Drosophila melanogaster: one gene and its partner. The protein of the gene in region 1 interacts with the protein of each later gene in a pairwise test. Each region holds a gene or a part of one and is shown on either strand. Other genes may lie near its edges.

Region 1 (3,754 bases):
CATATCCCTATATTGGGCAGTACGCATGGAAGTAGCCAAAGTTACTCAAAAAAGCGACATTAATGATGATAAGCTGATATATAAAGTTTTCCCCGTTTCAAAAGAAAAGAAAAGTGTACTCCATTGTTTTTGATTTAATGCTTTTATTTTGAAAAAATAATTATTTGGGTAACTTAAAGTAGCAATAAATATTCATATTTGTTTAAAATTAAATAATGAAAAAAAAGGTATATTCGAAAACTACATAACAGCAGCAAAAAAAAAAATGGTTATATTAGTAATTGGAATAAATAGTGATTAAGGTGGCCTAAGAAATTATGTACAGTAATTGAAAGATGATTAGTTTACGACTTAGGAACTAGTTAAGCGTCATAGTTAAGCGTTTTCCCCCCGTTTGTCAGCGTTGCTCGCTTTCTCGTCTCCATCTTCATCTCCATCTCGCATTTAGTTTCTCTTCTCATTTTTGTGGCTTTCCGAGGATCTGTTTGAAATTACCTCTGCTCAGACATATATAGACGAGGGCAGGGCCAATCCCACCTCGAAGTAATTGCGCTCGTCGACCTTGTAGCGCTTAATGGGGGACTCCTTGGCGACGATCTCCTTGCGGGTCCTCTTCAGGGCCTTGACTGGAGTCTCCAGGCAGAAGGTGTTGTCGCAGGGGGCAGACTTGGGGGCCACTGGAGTGGCCAGTTGGACAAGCAAGTTGTGAGGAATCTTGGCCAGGGGCGATGCCGGTTCCGGAGTGGGCATCAGGTTGTGCATGGGCAGGGGAACCAGGCCAAAGCTCAGATCCGAGGCCGGATCGTCTCCAGGTGCGTAGGATGGCGACAGCACCTCCTGGGGGCAGTTCGACTCCATTTGCTGCTTGACCAAGGTGCGTCTGCGCAGATTGAAGGTGGACCTTCTCGGCTTCTTCTTGCTGCTGGCGTTCGCCTTGCAGGCGGAATCCAAGATGGCATCGATTAGGCGATCCAAGGTCTGATCACCCATCTGCGTGGAGGCGGGCTGCGGTGTGCTTGGACGCACTTCCACCTTGGGGGTGGGTGGCTCTGGCACTGCCGTCTCCTGCAACTCCGGCTCCAAGGTGGCCACAAAGTCCTCGTCCAGTCTACGCTGCTTGAGTTTGTTAACTCCTGCACCCGAGCCTACAATATAGCGCGGCTGGCCCAGAAAGGGATCCAACGGAGCCAGGCCCCTCAGCGCCAAGTGCTGACCACTGGGCAGTCCGTTGGGCGAGTAGTCCTCGGCAAAACGTGGCAATGTGGTGGCGTATCGCACACTCTGTACCCTTTGGGGCGCCTGACTGCGCACCACCGCCTCCGGGGTGACATTCCGGATATCGCTCAGCGGCGCCAGGACCAGGGGACTGTTGCGCAGCCGGGTAATGGGCACTGGCGTGGAGGTGTAGCCCACGGTGTCAGGCACGTTCTCCTTGTTGGCAATGGTGGCCCTCCGCTGACGGCGCTGCCTCCTCTGCAGCCTCCTCCTCTGCGGCTGGTTGGCATCCTGATCGTGCACGGGAATCTCGTTCAGGCGCTGCGCCGATGCCGTCCACTTCAGCATGTTGTGTGTGGTTCTGTTTCTGCTGCTCCTGGTGCACAAAAAAAAAAGATGTACTTCTAGACTCTGCTAGTCTTCTGCTCTCGACCGCTCTCGCTGACAAACTGAAGCGGTACGGGGAGCGGGCTGCGTTTTATACCCGCTCGGCGCTCAGGGGTTAATGGCTAGGGGTTACGGGGCTAGGGGTTGTTGCGCAAGAGGCACCCCGGCGGGCAGAAGGACACTCGCTCTCTCCGGCGTTCTCTCCTTGGATGAAAAGACTCTCTTTGGCCAACGGATGTGTGTGGTAGCAAATTGTCTTTGGATCTCGAGGAACTTGAGCAACAAGCTCGAGGATATCAGCAGCTTAGCTTAGAATATGAAAGTATGATCTCTATGCCAACGAGATCTGATATTTTGATGGAGGTATTGGAGGTATTCGTCCTTTCCCACAGTTCGCAGTACCGGCCGAGAATCACCCACTCCAATCCAGGCACTCATCCACAGCACCACCACACGAAAATGACATCTAGATGTCTATCGGCCAGCGCTTGGTTATTAAATTTGCTTTCATTCCCCTCAAGGAAGTCTGCTTCCTTTCGCCCTTGTCTCCCCCTCATTTGAATGGACATTTAGAGCAGCAACAGGCTGGAAAATAGTGAACGGAAAAGGGAGAAGGGAAGTCAGGTTGGCCGGCTAATTAGCCGATGCCAAGTCCAACTTCCTGGCCGACAGCTCCTCGTCATTTTAGCCACTTGTCGTAGCGCGGTATCAGTATTAATTGCGGCTCTTTAGCGGCCGCAAATGCAATTTATATACTCGGCGGCTTTAATTGAAAATGTTTGCCACTTCCGGAAGGAAGCATTAGAAAAACGTTACAAACTCTGGGAAAAGTCCTGTGCAAAGCGTCAGTTGCTCACCCAACAGGGGAAAAGTTTGTACACAGTATGCATTATCAAATTATCAACTTTTTAATAAGTGTTCTTTCTACAAATAGATGGGCCTCATGCAATGCAAATTCACAACTTGTATGGATTTAACTTTGAAATGTAAATGTAAAAGGAAATGGTTCCCATAACCTTTGTAGTGATCTATATTTTAAAGCACAGCCGCTGTCCTCCATATGAATATGAAATATGGAACCAATAAGTAGATTATATTTCCGATGACAAGATCAAAGATAACTGCCCCCATATGTGGCTCTTGACCAGCTGTAGATGAAGTGATCATCGAGATCCCTGAGTGATCTTCAAGTGATCATCGACCAGCGATCCTAAGTGACGTTCAAGTGATCGGCGCTCGTCATCTCCTGGACTTGGATCACTCAAAGTGTCCGTGACCGACGTGGCTTGCTATCTGACGTTCTGATCTAGTTCAGCATGTAAAGGCATCTTTGAATGGGTTCTGGTCCCCTGGAGATATCTTTATTTGCGATCGATTGCTGAAAGATTTTCGCTAACGGGGATCGTATATTTCGCACGTTATCCTTTTCGGCTTTTTTGTGGTGAAAGTCGTTTTGTTTCATATGTTTTCATGTGACTATCTTCCGATCGGCTTTCATCCTGGATAGGGACACAAAAAGGGTGCTGGGGTAGTTAATCGATTACCCCGTTCCATCCACTGAAATGGCGAATTTCTCAACTTTTCAACTCTTTTTCAACGTTTACTTTGCGAAATGCGCTCCTGCTTTTGCTTACTTTTTACCTCTTTTCCCTTCGATTTGCCCTCGTTATGTCCCCGAGTCCTTCGATTCTCTTTGTGGCGCTGAGTTATTGCTGTTTACACAGCCGCACAAAAGGATTAAATGGGTTTTTGAGAGAGTTTCCAGCGCTAAGAAAGGATTCCGGCATGTTGATTAATATGATTTAACGAGCATCCTGCCTAACAAGGCGTATCCCGGCTAGTCTTCACCGGCAATTTCCACACAAAATTACCATAATCCTCGCATTTTCTGCGGTTTTTTTGGGACACAACGAAACACAAATGGATAAAGAACCACACGAAAACCTCTCAAATTCAATTTGAATTTTCGGCATTTCGTGTGCGACGATTTTACGCTTAATTAACGAGCCCAAGGACCCTGCCTCAAGGACAGCCCGAAGTCACGATCCAGTCCCGATCGCTGTATGCAAATTGCCCATGCATTTTTTACCGCTCCGCCCGGGCTGCATCTCCCGTCCCTTTCCCCTGCACGCGTGCTCGAGCGAGAGCGCGT
Region 2 (3,754 bases), on another chromosome or scaffold:
ATATATTTAAAGTAAGAATTTAAATTCACTTACGGCCAGTCGAAATTTTTGCCATTAATCATATGTTTAATATTTATTTATAACTATTTCTCCCACACAGTCACAGTCACAAAACATAGTGCAATTAATATCGAACATGTTTTACCCCAAAAATAAAGCTAATCATTTATAATTTTTTTCAATACCTCCTAACTTTTCAGGTATTTAGTTTTAAATTTTATGCTTAAGCAAGTAAGTAACTCGTAACTGCAAAATTTGAATGTAATCTCGAAAATCCATGAAAACATTGCATAACTTTGGGCTGCATCCGTGAAAAGTCATTGCCATCATCTGCACTTAACCCTTGAGTGCTCTTTTGGACTTTTCCACCCTAAATAATTTTTTTCAATTTCCCTCTGTGGGTGGCCCTTTCCCCCAAACATTTAACAAGTGGTCCTCAAGTGATTTCAATTATCTGAAATGTGAACTGGCAGTGGGTGCAGCGGGGAAATGGGGTTAAGAGGGGTTGGCTGCTTTTGTGAGCTTCGTCAAGTGGCTCATTAATCTCAATTAAAAAACATATAAATAAATCGCTCTGAGTGTGGTGAGTGAGTGAAAAGAGTTTATACTTAACGAGCTGATCATCCAGAAAGGCGAACCAAATATCTATGAGATTCTTTTCATGCCATTCGACCAGATTTTCTGACGTGCCGGCGCTGAAAGCATAATTCGATAAGTTCGAATCGTTGATAGCGAAAAATAATAACACACATCTGCAGCGCATTGATTGCCGCAACTGCTGTTGCACGCAAGAAGCGTCGGATGTTGCACGTTGAATATTGCACGAAATCCGGAGCCAAAGCCAAAGCTGCAAGACACGCATTTTGGGTGAAAAATACTTCATAAATTGGGGTATAGAGCATCATGGGTGGTGAGGGGATTTAAATGCGGGCGGTCAGTCAGTTTGCCTTGCATTAAGACACGATATCGTCTGGTTTCCTCCGCTGCTCTGGTGTTGTTATTTTGATCTTCCACTCTTCACCATGTTATTAAAGTACAAAAGCTGCACTTGAATATGTTGTGGTTTAAGGTACCTCGTCTTATATGGGGTGTATAAGACCAACGAGGAAAAGGTCTAGCCAAGGGGAAAAATCATCCACACATAAGATGTTAAGTTAGATGAATATTCAAAAGTAAATGCGAATAAATAAAGTGAGGGCATAAGAGGGTAGCAACAGTTCGCTTAAAGTTACCCTTTATCATCAGAATTACAGGGTACAAGCTCGCTTCATATCGCTTTACCTTCTCTTCGTATTGTAATTGCTGAAAAGCCGGGCGCAGGGCATTAAAAATTGAAATCATGAATTAACGACGCCGCGAATGCCAAGAGCACTTGTTTATTTATGTCGTCTCCCCTGAAGCCCCGCATCTTGCCTCTTTCTCTAGCGTCTAGCGTCTCCAGCCCTCTCTTTCACACTCTCTCATTTTCAAAATACAAGCCGGCTTTTCAAAACTGAGCTTAGCCAGTGTCAAGAGATCAAAACAAGAGAACCGCTACCTGCATGAATGAATTGAGCGAATCGGTTAAGTTTCATGGGCTGCACGCTCTTTATCTCTTTCTGATCGGCTGTCTCCCGTAGAATCTGCTCAGTCTTCGGTCTCCGGTCTTCAGTCTTCCGATCATTTAGTCAGTCTTGTTCGAAGTTCGCGGCGTTCGGTTGTTCGGCTGTTGGGAAAGCGGCGCGCGCGTTTTGATTTTCCACATCTCCACCGCTCGAATATAATGTGCGAATAAAAACATATCTATGTAAATTAAGTTAGGCAGAAAACGAGGAAGAAAACAATAAATTTGGCACTTCAAAAAAAAAGCGAAATGAAACGTAAATTAATCAGCCATAATTTACCTAGAACATTTTTGACATTCAAAAATGCTTGGCGCTAGTTTTTTTTGCGTTCACTCGTCTAAAGATGAAATCAACAATCTGTGCTAAATTTATTGTTGTTGTCGAATATTCAGTTTTGTGACGACCCTCAGAAAGCACAAACAAAATGTTTAACAAATAGAAAACGACACAGAATGCGCGAAAAAAATATTTTTCAAAAATATTCGGTGACCTGATGCATTGAAAGCTTATTTGTTTGAGTCATGTGCATATTTCAATATACTACAACAGTCCACGCCCCAGAAAATTTCAATCAACAATTTTCCATTTTTTTTTCTTTTAAATTTTTTGGACAACAACATATGGAGGCAAAGCATTTCCTCGATTGCGCTACTGTAAACTTTTATAAAGGGAACTTGTTCTTCCCAATTTTTGGTTTGCTGCTTATTTTTAGACAGCGCAAAGTACAATTAAAATAGTTTACATTACGCCAGCAACGGCGGCGACTATTAAAAATTGAGAGAAACACCAAAAATTACCTAATGGAGGCAGCTGGCTGCACACGAGCATACGCGGCGTATGCGTAATGTATTCAAAAATATCGAAAAATCCATGAAAAATGACTGACTGGCGACGACTTCTGCCAATGCAATTGGCACATGTTACAGATTTGACGAACATCCGCGCGCTTTATCTATTAGCTATAGTAGCCTGTATCTGTAGCATCGCAGTATCTGAGTATCTGGGCTAGAACAACAGTTTAGCTTCGTGGCAGAAATCGCCGCAAAAAATTACTCAATAGTTTGTTGTTTTAAAAATAAACGCGAATCGAGCATTGTCTTTGAGTTTTGGCGGGGCGGGGGGCTACCGAGGTTCTACAACGAGACTAGCACACGCATCAAAGGCAATTTTCTCAGGCTCAATATGCAAAAAGTACACACGATTCTCTCGGCTATATAGCCGTATATATAGACACTACGGAATAATAAACAGACACTAGAGCGACAGGGAGAGCGCGAGTATGAAGTCATAGTCATCGCGGCGGGCAAAAAGAATTCTCCGTTTCGAAAATCTACCGATTCGCGGAGGTTCTCAGACGATCGCCGGCGTTGATAGCGCTCGCAACGAAACGAAGGAACCGCCGAATCGAATCCCCTGGCTATAACTAATCCCAATAAATTAAATCCGAACGCGAGTGACTCAATCTAATAGTTCCACTTTTTCGAGCAGAGTTCAAAATGCAAAACACGAGACACAAGCAGGGGAAGTAAGCCAAAATACGAGAAAAACTAAACGACAGAGATTATAAAACGCCCACGCAAAACACACCAAACTACAAGCACTCACTCAATCCTCGAAAGTTAGTCAAAAAAAAAGAAAACAGAGAGAAGTAGAGACGAGCAGATAGAAAGAAAAGCAACCATGGAACGCCGCCAAGCCCTAGACTCATCGATGTCTTCGCTCTACTCGGTCGCCTCCTCCTCGAATCCCAATCCCCGCCAGCCGCACACCGGCCACCAACTTCAGACGCAGCAATCCCAGCAATCTCAGCAGTCCCAGCTAGACGCCTTCAATTATTCAGCAACAATGTCATCATCGTCGCCGACTCCAAGTCAGGCCATGTCCACAGCCATGTCCACGGGCACGGGCACCGGCACCGGCACCACCCACACCACACCACCATCCTCCTCCTCCCTGAGAGCCACCACCATTGGCACCGTTGTCGTCCGATGCGGACCCATCCAGCTGGTGATAGCGCTCCTACAAGTGAGTTGTACTCTTGTACCCCGCAAACAATAAAAATAGTAAACTAAAAAACGAAACGAATCCAAACAAAAAACACACAGCAAAAAGGCCAAGAAATGGGAAACAAACATGAAGAAACATTTATC

What was found. The genes of interacting proteins can lie anywhere in the genome.
Region 2: the proteins of CG12496 (region 1) and zormin interact in a two-hybrid assay, tested with the Drosophila melanogaster proteins (one large-scale study listed by BioGRID).

The regions. Positions count from the first base shown.
Region 1 is NC_004354.4:2,409,234-2,412,987, forward strand, and holds CG12496 (uncharacterized protein), read right to left. Parts: upstream 1,669-3,754; 5' UTR 1,564-1,668; coding exon 502-1,563; 3' UTR 132-501; downstream 1-131.
Region 2 is NT_037436.4:2,149,620-2,153,373, reverse strand, and holds the start of zormin (zormin), read left to right. Parts: upstream 1-1,673; 5' UTR 1,674-1,764; intron 1,765-3,092; 5' UTR 3,093-3,284; coding exon 3,285-3,629; intron 3,630-3,754.